Caenorhabditis elegans: one gene and its partner. The protein of the gene in region 1 purifies or fractionates together with the protein of each later gene. This does not show direct contact. Each region holds a gene or a part of one and is shown on either strand. Other genes may lie near its edges.

The links.
Region 2: the proteins of F25F8.1 (region 1) and Y102A11A.3 fractionate together in Caenorhabditis elegans (co-fractionation; one large-scale study listed by BioGRID). This does not show direct contact.

Annotation. Positions count from the first base shown.
Region 1 is NC_003279.8:4,883,093-4,887,902, forward strand, and holds the start of F25F8.1 (B box-type domain-containing protein), read left to right. Parts: upstream 1-1,810; 5' UTR 1,811-1,820; coding exon 1,821-1,957; exon of another isoform or gene 1,958-2,094; coding exon of another isoform or gene 2,095-2,283; intron 2,284-2,647; coding exon of another isoform or gene 2,648-2,823; intron 2,824-2,868; coding exon of another isoform or gene 2,869-2,935; intron 2,936-2,982; coding exon of another isoform or gene 2,983-3,167; intron 3,168-3,527; coding exon of another isoform or gene 3,528-3,771; intron 3,772-4,089; coding exon of another isoform or gene 4,090-4,161; intron 4,162-4,204; coding exon of another isoform or gene 4,205-4,348; intron 4,349-4,621; coding exon of another isoform or gene 4,622-4,810. Other genes in the region: glc-2 (Glutamate-gated chloride channel subunit beta), read right to left, coding at 2,095-2,283, 2,648-2,823, 2,869-2,935, 2,983-3,167, 3,528-3,771, 4,090-4,161, 4,205-4,348, 4,622-4,810.
Region 2 is NC_003284.9:2,017,128-2,025,177, forward strand, and holds the start of Y102A11A.3 (Protein unc-13 homolog A), read left to right. Parts: upstream 1-2,020; 5' UTR 2,021-2,043; coding exon 2,044-2,073; intron 2,074-2,128; coding exon 2,129-2,276; intron 2,277-2,321; coding exon 2,322-2,549; intron 2,550-2,597; coding exon 2,598-2,681; intron 2,682-2,843; coding exon 2,844-3,620; intron 3,621-3,889; coding exon 3,890-3,964; intron 3,965-4,007; coding exon 4,008-6,243; intron 6,244-6,534; coding exon 6,535-6,927; intron 6,928-6,974; coding exon 6,975-7,250; intron 7,251-7,296; coding exon 7,297-7,361; intron 7,362-7,406; coding exon 7,407-7,612; intron 7,613-7,969; coding exon 7,970-8,043; intron 8,044-8,050. Other genes in the region: Y102A11A.9 (Lebercilin domain-containing protein), read left to right, coding at 53-151, 504-681.

The DNA of each region.
Region 1 (4,810 bases):
CCGTTATTTTCTTATTCAATTCAAAAAAGAAAGTGTAACAGGATGGGAGGAGTGTCTTTGAATGTTCTAAACCACTTTTCTCTACTCTTTTTTTTCGACACTGCTCTCGCCAATATTTGAAATTGAAAAAGTTGATTCTATTGAAAGCTTCCCCCATTTTTTTTCTTCCTATTTCGCGTTTTTGGTGTTAAAAAATTGTTGTAGGAATTTTTGAAAGTGATGGGAGATTAGTGTCAGCTTTTGCAGAAAAATTTGCATGGATATTTCTTGTAATTTACGATTCTTCCTATTTTGCATTAATGAAAACATTGAATACCAACTTTAAAATTCTCAAAAAATTACGGCCCTCCTTTATTTCCTCTCCCTCCCTCTCGAAAATCTCTCTTATCACCCGTAAAATATTTTCGGCTAATGCTGGATTACAACGCAATTTTCCAATTTTTATCTGTTTTATTTCCATTTAACGATGATGATCATCGTTGTATTTGAATAATTTGTTTCGGTTTTTGTAACCAGTTCCTCCGCCACCGCCACCAATTTTCCTTTCTTTTTTCCTATTTTTTCTCTTTCTCCCCCATTTTTGTGTCACTCACCACTGTTTTTTGTGTGTTTCTATTTTATTTTGGTGTCGTTTTCTTTGTTTTTTTTCTGGAATTTTATTTCTTTTCCAATGTTTCATAGCTGAAAATTGACGGAAAAAGTTTTCCCTTCACATTTTCAAAAACAATGTTACAGGTTTATCCATTGGAAACTTTTTCAACTTTGTTAAAACCCAGTTTTTAGAAGGTCTTTTAATATTTACAGACAATAACTTTAGCCAAAATAAATTAGACTTATCGTGGCGAGACCAGCTTTCCTACAATAGAAAATTTTAATGTTAAAGATACTTTTCAAGTTTCCGAAAATTACTGAGTTTTCAAACAAAAAAATTGCGTCACTCCAGGAGATTCTCTTTAAAGATTCTCTAAAAAAAGTTGTAATATTTGCAAATACCATTACGAAATCCATATATTATGTTGTTTATCACTTTCTTTGATTTTTGGAATTTTACTTTGGAGGTTGCGAAACTTAAGTTTCTGAACCAACTGAAGTAATAGTTAGTTTCTCCTAATTAGATTATCTTATCAGAAAAATTTCTCAATTAGGGATTTTTAAACTACAAGTTAGAAGTTACTCAAAATATTCATTAGGTTCTTCTAACCTGTGTATTATTCTATGTAAGCATTCTTTAATGGAAAGTTTCCTATCCGAAATTTGTTTTTATATTCAAGGCGTTTAGACTTGCAGGAAAGCTCAGCATTCCTTAAAATGTTTAAATTTGAAACATGTGGCGATTGTCCGAGAGATTTACTAATTTGTACCTACCGTATTTTTAAACTGGCACTTCATTACTAAACATTGGCAATTATTAGATTTTTCAAAAATATTAGTTAACTTTTTTTCTATAGGGGGGTGTAAACTTTTTTTTTAATTTCCACAGAGATTTACAACTGTAGAACCATTTTTTTTTAAGATCCAAAAAGTTAGGTCTTTCAATTTTTCATTTTATGATTCTCTCGGTTCTCCCGAAAAATTGCCAAACTTAATAAATTTCAAAAAGTCTGAAACTTTATTTTAAATTTTCTTATATTTGTAAATTTTACAGTTTTGACATTTAAAACGGGTCAAAAATTTTAAAATGTTGACAATACTCGATTTTATGTTTACCTTTCATACTTCTTCGATTCATTCAACTCATACTATTTACGCACTTTTTTCCAATTTTTTATATGTTTTCTCATTCACACTTTAATCAAATCTTGTCTTCCAGATATGCAAAGATGATAGTAGATTGTGACGATTGTGGCAAACAAATCGATTTAAATCAGTCATCAATTTCCAAGCCTTCTTCGTCAAATTCTTCGGACCATATTGTTGAATTATGGTGGTGTAGGGATTGTATATCGACTGTTTGCAAGTGAGTTTTATTTTTTATTTTTTATTTAAATTTTAAATTTCAAATTTCATTTACATATACCGGTATCAAGTATGATGTTTGCAAATTGATAGCAAATGTGGGAACAGTGGGGATTTGAAAAAAAAACAGGGGAAAATCTAAACGAGAGACTCTGGAGTGGAAGCATTGGCAGACATGATAAGACATGATACCCAGTAGATAACATTGAAAGCGAGAAAGGCAAGTGGGACGACAAATCTGGCATAGAAATCAATTTTTGCCGGTAGATAATCTGGTTTTGTGAAGTAACGGCGGACTTTGTCACGGAATGTCTCGCGGGCTTCGAACTGAAAAATTGACTTTTTTTCGCATATTTTTCTAACATATTTATGAGTATTTTTTGCAAGATTATTCCGGAATAGCGACTTTTACATAGGTTACTACACTTAAAAAAATAGCTACATACAATAACTTTTAAATGGAAAAAAGTCGACGTTTTGTGTTTTTAGTGGTATCATGCTGGAAGCTTTTTGGAAGCTGTTTGCATTTTGAATTCTTTCAATATTTGAGATCGTTTCAAAAAGTTGAATCTTTTTATTTGTCACCCAGTGAATTTATACAAAAAGTTTTTTTGTTGAATTTTTCAATAACATTGGCGAATTCCAGGACCAAAACTTTTTGATGATTGTTAAAATTCAAGGCTTAACCTACAGTATGACAGGTGCACGGTGGCTGATAGACTTCTGCATCCACCATTTCCAACTTTTCTCTCCTTCTCTGCGCCTTCCTTGCAGCTTTCTCTCTTGACCTGTCATTTTGCCGGACACTATCTTGATAACTGACAAATGCGTATTCCAGAAGTGCTCCGAATACAAATGTTTGGCACGCTGGAAGTTTCTTTGATTGTTAGATATATTAAAGGAGTTACTCACCTCCAAGCCAGACATCCACAACTTTTACGTAGCTAACTGGTGGAAGCTTGGCGTTGATTGCAGATTGCTGAAAGTTCTTTGTTGAAGTGCACAAATTATTTTTCAGTCCCTTACCATTGTAGTCATTGTAAGAAGCGTAGTGACTCCTAAAGCGACACGTCCAGCAGTTGAATGAAGATCAATCCAAAATGAAACCCATGAGACAATCACAATCATAGTGGTTGGAGCATACAGTTGTACCAAGTAATAACTGAATTGCCGTTTGAACAAAAGTTGCATTCGGAGACATCCATATGATCCTGTAAGAAATCTGGATTTAGTTCTTTATATAGGTTCTTCTCATCTTTTTGGAAAACCCCACAACTAAATTTAGCAACAATTTTTTAAACCCCCTATTTTCTATCGGAACTTGATTTCTGATTATTAATGTTTTCCCAATTTATTTGCAACAAAATTTGCCAAACTTCCCAACGGGCTTTTCTGCTCAAACCCCCAAAATACACTTCTTTCCGTGAAATCATTTGTTCAACTTTTTTCCCTTCATTTTCCCACGTCACAACAGCTATAAAATCCTCTCAAAAAGTGCAAAATCTGTTGACAAAAGCTCATATCTCTTCTCTCCCCCAATCGCCTCAAGAAGTTGCAAAAAATTTGTCTACCTGTGTTCGTGTGGCTTGTGCAATCTGCATTTGTTGTGTAGTTTTTGAGTATAAAATTGGGAAGATCCGAGCCAACGCCGGGTTTCAGTTGAACTGGTGTTGATGGATCCCACTCGTACATGATATCATTCATTGTGTGCGCGTAGCTGACAAGATCAAAGTTACACGATTGATAGTCGAGTGGGTAGAGTTGGAGACGCATTGGGCAGGAACTTGTCAAACTTATCCGGGAACTGTAGAGGATCTGAAAATTAAGGAAAAATTAGTAAATTAGAACCTGTTTTATAAAATTTTGGAAGTCAGATCTATCAAGATAAAAATCCACCGCAGATTTTGGCTCTAAAATTTTTTTACTTTGATTTTTTGAATGCGGAATTTTTCCGTTTAATTTTCAAAATCTTGTCCAGATGTGCGTTTCATTAGACATGTCATTTGATCAAGAAACTTCTTCCAAAATTGGGAATACTGGCAGTTTTCTATGCTACAAAAACAATAGGCATTTTTCAACATTTCCTTCATTTCCAGATAAAATTTCTTCAACTTAAAGTTTTCAAAAACTCACTTTTCCATCCGGATATATCCTCAAGAACATGTTTTCCATATCAATCAAATGTCTATGAGCTGCTTTTTCGGTCTGAAAATTCCAATTTTAACTTTAAAGTGAATATCAAACTAACGGGAAAGAATGTGTCAGGAATCCATAGACTCTTTTTAACATGTGGGACTGTGAGAAATGCCGGAGGATTGTAGAAACCCAAATTTTCATAGGCCAGTCGAGGATCTATCCATTGCTCGCGGAATGTTAGTTGAATTGAATATTCCTGAAACTTAGGAGTGAAGAAAGGATTTTTGTATGAACTGGAATTCGATTTTTTGTCTCCTATGATTATTATTGATATTAGCAATTTTTTCTGCTCCAGAACAAATTTCAAATTTTGGTGCTTTTTTAAAATGGAAATTGAACTGCCAAAAAAAATTATAAACACCTGTGAGAAATAATTTTTTTTGGTATTTTTTTGGTACTGTGATTTTTTAGGAAATTTTTTAATGTTATTTTTATTTAAATTAACATTTTTATTCCGAATCCAACTTACCATATTAACTACATCAATTTTCGATAGCATCCGAATCATAATATTAACACGAACATTGACAGCACCTTCCGTTGATGAGTTGGCCGGTGGTGGCCGTACCCGCATGTCATAATTTTTGAGCAACGCATTGAGAATCTCCTGCTCCGATTGCATACTGTACTCGCCATTTGTGACGACGGGCATCAGTAG
Region 2 (8,050 bases), on another chromosome or scaffold:
TGTATACGTTCAAAATATTCCAGAACTACTCCTCCATTACCAAAATTTTCAGAATGAACAATGAGAAACTGCAAGAACATTTGGGTGATTTGGAGCAACGTGTTGGACATTTAAAAATTCAGCCGGACTATGAGAGCCTTCCACCATTAAAGTGAACATTTTGATATTGTTTGTTTTTGTTCAAAGGTGAAGTAGAGTCGTTTTGAAATTTTGCTTTAAATCAGAGAAAATAGACCATAATTTTTTATTTTATTTTGGCGGAAACCGGCAGAATTAAATTTGAATTCCCGCGTATTTTTGAGTTTTTTTTTTCTTTTTTTTCTTTCGCATTTTTTCGTTAAGAAGACTAAAAAGACAAAAACCCATAAAATATCGTTTAGAAGAATTAAACAATTAAAAAAATATTTAACAGTTACATTAGGTTATTAGTGTTTATTTTCTGTCATTTAAAGCAAAATTCCAAAACGACTCTACTGCACTTTTAATGACACACGTCGTTTCAGTATACCTCGACTCGACATGACCGATATTGACAATGACGAGAACGGCACGTTGCACGAGTTTTCTGAAAGAAGTGTTTTATCGAATCTTTCTGAATTCGATCATGTACACCTTGCTGGTGCATTAGCAGAAATTGCTGGTGCTCATTGTGAGCGATTGCGTATGATCACTCAATCATAACAGACTACTTTTATTACTTCCCACTCTTTCCTGTCAATCTATCTATTAGTATACAACCTGTCTGATTTTTTTCCCCTGATGTGATAATTTTGAACACTGGTCAGCCCTTTTTCTATTTTCTTCCAATTAATTTGATTCTGCTGTGCAATCCCAATTGAGTGTGAAAATCTTTGTGTTGAAAACTGTACAATTTAGTTTATACTACATATTCGAAAATTAAATCCTTCTGAAACTTCTAAATAAATTTTTTTAAAATTTTTTAAATAAAGTTTTTTATTGTTTTAACATGTTACCTGGCAAAATTTAACCTCTATAAGTGGAGTGTCGCCACCACTGGGGAAACTGTTCAAAACTGCTTCTATTGTGCTGAAATTATCAAAGTCCACCGTAACAACTTTTCAAAAAAATTGTGCACTATTTCCTTACATATTAAATTGCGAAGAAAACTACAAAAAAAGTGACGACCCGGAACTTATTCCTCCCTAATATTTTTTACGATTCCTGCCAAGTGAGCGCATTTTTGGCATTACACGGTGTTTTACATTTTGTTCTCCATCTGTCAATCTACTCGATGCTCCTTTTTTCACAGTTCTGATGAAATGTATACATTCCAAACCACTTTTATCATCAAGTCATACATCACTGGAAAAAGGCATAGAGCAGCAGTTGTAACTGCTGATAATGCAAGTTTTTCATTGGTATCGGCGAGCATTACATTTCGTTTTTTTTCTGTTTCTTGAGCACTCGACTGCAAATTAACATTATTTGCTTTGTTTTTGTGGAATACTAATTTAATATGATTCGATTGTAGTAGCTGTACTTCAATTTTATTTTGTAGTTTATCAAAAATAAAACGTGAATTTTTTATTTTAGGCTTAAAAGAGGAGTATCGGTTTTAGATATAATAAACGAATAAGCCCAAAATGGGTTCAAATGAACAAATTTCGAATAAAATTAAACTTCTTTAAAACATTTCAAAATTATTTATGGCGGTCCAACATTTCGAAAACAATTGGTTAATTTTAGGTCACATCATTTCGTTATTTATAAATGTTTATAAATGTTTTGTTTATAAATTATTTATAAATGCAAAAAGAATAATAGTTCAATTTTTTGCGAAGTTTTATCACGAAATTTGTTAATTTGAGCACATACTCATCCTTGTAGAAAAACTTTTTATAAACTTAATAATAAAATAGGAATAGTTATTCACATTATGGAATTTCATTTATTGCGAACATTTTGAGATACTTATTAAACTATATCTATAGACCAAATCAAATTCTATCGAATTTAAAAATACAAAAAAAATCAGATCACATTTATTCTAATTTTCCAGATGATAACTTGAATGTTGAGCACATGAATTCTGACTGTGACCAACACATCAAGGTATATTTATATTTTTTCTAATACTTTAAATTTATACAATGTATACACATTTCAGAGTAGAGTTAGATATCATCAATCCGAATTTTGTACGAAACTAAACTATGTGTATACTTCTCGCCAGTGTGACGAATATTTCAACTATTTGGCTGAATTGAGAAGAATTATTTTTGGTGACAAACAATATTCGGAAAAAATGAAACCAAGTAAGTTGGAAAATAAAACCAGAAATGTAATGAAAATTGTTTCAGAAAACAATTGTGACCCAATTAGACACTCAATTCATTATCGCACACGGGACGGCAAAACTCTGGTTTATGAGTTGGGAAATACGTCAGACTACGGCATTAATCTTTTTGCAATACCGTCTGAAACAAAAACGGTTGCAACAAAAACGTATTATGCAGAAGAACACGTACTCACTCAGCCGGAGACTTGTCGAGTGTTACCTCTCACTCACTGCTTTCATCTTGTAAAACGTTCGTCAATTCAATTTTTTGAGCATTTTTTAAAATAATTGTTTCTAGAGCCATCGGACAACGTGAGCCCATCAAAATTACGCAATAAGATGTGTGATGCTCATCTGGGAAGCTCAAAAACATTTTCCACAAGTGAGTTAAAATATACATTGCTGGTGATAAAGATATGCACAAAAGCTCTTGCAAGAATGTGCTGTGAAGTTGCATGCCTTTATGACCAGCACTAATTGTAAAACAATTTTGTAAACCAAAATAAAAACATTCAAAAAACAACTAAATACTCAAATTTTCTAGATCAAGAATGTCTACAGTTGTCTCAACCTCCAGATGATCAAAACAACTTCCACATTATCGACCAACATTTGTGTTTTGCCTGTGTCGACGACTTTTCAGAAGAGCATGTTGGATTTGAAGACGCTGAAAGTCTGAGTGACGTGGTAGATGAAGATTTTGCAGTAATGGAAGAATTCGCGAGCGTTTTGGAGGAGACGGGATCGGTTTTTGAAGAGTTGGGTGATGATGATTCAATTGAAGACAATTGTTCCATATCCGATGATAAAGTGAACAGGATTGTGGGAATTGTGAAGAGACAAATTGAATTTTCAAAAGACAGACACAGTAGATCTGAAGAAAGAAATGTTTGTCATCTCCAGGATCAAACAATTTCTGAACAACCACATTTTCATTCAGCTGTGCTTGAAAAATCAGATGAAAACATTTCCTGGGTGCAGCTGCCCACATTTCAACTTCCATCACTATTTTCAAAACAGCCTATTCTCCCACCAAATGTGAAAATGGAATCGGAAAAACAAGAAGACGAGGCTAATTTTGATTATTCTTTACAATCAGTACCAGAACCGTCCAGTGCTTATCTTCCTCATGAAACTGATCAAAATCAAAGTAGTACTTCTTTCCCGCAACAAGAATCTGACAATGAAGATTCTGAGACAAGTTCTCCTGACACACCTGAAAACGGCAGTGTACTTGTGAATATGATTCAAGATTACGTTCAAATGGTAATGTCCGTGTCTCGAGAATTTCAACAGTCACACAGAGAAGAAGCCTCACAAGGTAATAAATGTCTTGCACGTGGTGTCAGATTGCCTCTTTTCGGCCTGATCTATGTAGATCTACAAAAAAATGCGGGAGAACAGACGCAGATTGCTCAACTGACGTCACATTTTTCGGGCAAAAAATACTCCCGCAATTTTTTGTAGATCAGCCCGTAATGGAAGACTCTGACACCACATGGTCTGGCTTATAACCATTTTTTATAATATGAGCGGTGCAATAAGTCCTGGGTCAAAATTCATAAATGTTTGGTAATTTGTTTTTTAAAGCGAAAACTTCCGAGCTCGTCAGTCTGGATCTACAGTTGCTGACATATGCTTCGAAAGCTGACCAGATAGAAGAAGGTTTGAAAAACAATTTTTTGAAATAAAATAATATAAGTTCTAGATCCTCGACTGATGCTGAGAAGATTGGCTCCACGAAAAACGTCAGTTGATAAATGGAAAAGTTCTACTTTGTTGAATGAAACTGTTAAACCCTCGGCTACTGAAAAAGAGAAAGTTTTTGAAAAATTGTCAGCAAATGGTGAAGACTACAGTAGAGAGAAAGCCGCCGATCAAGAGTCTACTGGAAATCATTTTTTTCGTACATTAACGTCTGAGCTTGAAATCAACCAACCGGGAATACCAAAAACTCCAGATGTTAGTTGTTTCTTTTCAGAAGACAGTGTTTGTTCTGAGTATGCTCCAAATCTCCAAGAAGAAAATCTTCCACCGGTTTTACTCAATTCGAATACGCAACCAGAAACCGATTTTGAATTTCAAGTAGACACATCAACTTCTGAAATTTTATCAGACCAATCAAATATGAACATCACATTTGAACCGATCGAAGACATCGCTGAAGATCGGCCAAAATTGAATGGAGAGGAAATTGTTCAAGTTCAGATCATGGAAAGCACTTCTAGATCCACTGCACCTTCAAACATTAATCTTTCTGAAAACTCTGACGTCACACCGTTTACTAGCAACTGGAAGGAAATAACATGTGATGTTGATTGTGAGGATACGTCACAGAAAGAGCATTGTGCACATTCAAACGCTATCACTCCCGAAACAGTTTTTGATATTTCACCAGAATTGGGAAAGAGCAAACAACATTGCATCGATAAACAAGCTGAATATAGCGGAAAACTTGTTCACTTGAAAAACCATATTGAAGTTGCTTCTGTTTTGGAGAGCATCCTGGTCGAAGTATCCAACAATACTGATTCTAATGCAACATTGAACTCTGCAACTTCTCAAGAAATCTTCGACGTGGTTGAACTTCTGCAAGTACCAATTGAGATTACTGTAGATGTGTTGCCGGAAATAGAAGACCAAAGCGATACTGAAACGTTCACACCTGAAGAAGCCACACCATCCGTATCTGTATTCGATGAAGTTCAGTGTTCCCTTTCTATCAGTATGGATACTACTCTAAAGACGGTCAATTCAAAGGTTTTAATCAACACGGAATTTTTACAAGAGAACTCGTTAACCATCAATGTCATTGATAGTTGTTATCACGAAAACATCCAAAACCATGTGCTCAGCTCAATAAATAACAATTTGGAAATTGTTGAAATTTCAAACAACATTTTGAGCAAAGCATCAAGTTACTCAGAACTCGTTGTTGATGATATTGTTATCACTGTTGTCCCAGATATGCTTTGTCATGTTACCTTTCAGGCTCTTCCACCAATTATCTCTAGGAAAGTCGATGAAAATCGAATTGGAGACGAAAATGTTCTTCTGAATAATTTAAATAATGTTACAATGAGAAGTGGGAGAAGCCAAACTCAACACTCAAAAATTTTTATCAATAAGGACGTCCACCATTTTTTGCAAGATCAAATCAACTTTCTGGAACGACAAGAACAAACAAATGATGCAGAGGACAGTATATCGGTTACATCCAGCTTTTCCACTTCAAATACGAACGATAACGATTTGCAATCTTGTGTTCCGCTGAGTATAGAAGAAACCTGGGACATTGAAGTTGGGCTGAACCACTTTTTGAATTGGCTACACGGTTTGTCCGAAAACTCAAGTGATGCTGGGCCGACTGAAGATTTTCCACAAAACACAATCAGTCTTGACTTTAACATAGAACATGAATTAATAGCATCAGAATTGCCGGAAAGAAAAGAGGCCACTGGAGATTCTGAGGGTGACAACAAGAAAGCGACAAAAACGTTTGAAAATAGTAAATCTTTAGCAAAGTGTGGTATGTCCAATTCAATGGATGTTCTCGAACCACGAAGTTTCAAGGAAAAAATTCAAGACCGGCGCTCTCAAACGTGTGAGCATTCTTCCGAAAATCAAGGTCTAGAAGAAGTCAAGTTAGAAAGATCAGAGCAAGATCCCAATTCAATGGCGTGCCTGCTAGAAATCAGCACAGCAGATAATTTCGAAAATGCGGAAAATCAGTTAGAATATGATCAACAATTGGTAGTTTTCAATCTGGACAACATACAAGAAGCCTGCGGACAAACGAACAACATAGGCAGCACTGAAACGAGTTCAAAATCAACTGAGCAATCCGAGGACATTGACAAACTCGATCATCATTTCGAGGATGCATGTGAGAGAAAGTATTGCGAAACTGATACAATGCTCAAGGAAAATCCAGACAGTACGAGGTACGCGGTATAATTATTGGGGAAAAAACTATGCTACAATATATTGTAAATTTAATCATGCGAAAAAAACCACAAAGCGGTTTTTACTAAGTTGCCGTGAAATGAGAAAACTCAGCCACCCTCATAACTCACGGTAGAATCAAAGGACACCCTTTCCAAGACTATTCTCGTTAAGTTTCAAAAATATGTACCGTAAAAAATCATAGATAAATAATTGCCCGAGTTTTTGATTTTTCTAGGCTACGGGGTATTTCCAGTATTTCCATATTCCTCAAAAAAAGATATTTTCAGAAAAATGGCAAAAAATCTCAATGAAAACGAAAGTGGTATAAACATTATAAAAGATTCCAACTCGGAATACAAAAGTGAAATTGCTGAAATGGATCTATTCTATGCCAACTTCGAAGTTCCGTTGCCTGATTCAAGTTGCATCAAAATTTCGGAAATGCAAAATAATCTCGCCTCATTGGTTGATCATCTTTTGTCTGATCAAATTCAAGCTGCTGTCCAAGAAGCTTCCAAGCTGATCTGTCACAGAATGATACCCCTCGCCAGAAATCAGTCTTGTAAAATCATTGAGGATACATTTTATACCGAGTATATTGCTGATAAAACAGCATCAGCAGTCACGGAAAAAGAAAACGTCGAAGATTGTACCGATACTTCATTTTGCGATCAATCAAGGTAGTTTTTGATATAACTGTGGTATGATTAAGATATGAAAAATTAAGGAATGTTGAGAGATGTTGCACTACGCTAGATACCGACAAAGCTGTGGTTAAACAATTTTTGAATAGAATGATGCATGATCTAGTCTCCGATGCAGTTCTCGAAGCGTGTCTGGTACCCGCACATTTTCCCGATTCAATTGAAACAGCAGTATGTGAGCATTTCGATTCTTTCCCAGATATCCCAAAGTTATTCTTGTCGCCAAAACTGGAGGATTTGAGCCAATCAACTTCACACAAACCAATATCTGAACTTCAGTCCAGTTCCTCAGAAAACAGGTAATTTTACTTTGATCTTGAAAATCTGAATAAAATTTTTTTTCAGAGTTTCTTTGAATGAAGTTTTCGAAGAAAAGATGTGTGACGTGTTAAGAGAAAATACACATTTGGGTAGCTTGTAGCGTTTTAAAAGGTTTCCTATTATACTTCTTTCAGAAACTAATGCAGATCGCGAGCCGTTTAGAAATAATTTATCAAGATCCAATTTGGAAACTTGTCAAAACATTATTGATTTGACACCCGAATCCAGCGATTCTAGCATTTGTGCAGAAGTATTCGTTCCGACAAACTCAACACCACCTTCGGAGACTTCCCCTACCGACATTAGTTTGAACTCTTCGGAACAGCAGAACACTTCTTCGGTACGTAAGTTCCAAAGCCATGAGACAGTAGGGGCCAAAATTCTATTCGTTTTTGGTTTTAAGGTTTTTTCTTCTTTTGTTCAAATTCTATAAGAGCTGAAATTTGAGGCTTATGTTCAATTTTTGTACAACTTTTCCCGGTCACCGTGTAAACTGTATGTAGATTACCAGTTAAGTGATTCGGACGTAATCACAAATATATGTAGTCCAAGTAATTAGCACCATTTTGTTAGCAAACGTATTTTGCGAACTATTATAGTAGTTACACATATTTTAACAGCTCAAGCAAAACCGATAGCGAAGAGATTATTCGATGGTCGGCAATGTACTATGTATATTAATTTAATGATTTTATAGGTATTAGAAGAAGTCTCATATTTCTTCACAACCGCGTGTGTTGCTGCACTTGCATTCATGTCCCCGGCAGAAAAGTATAGT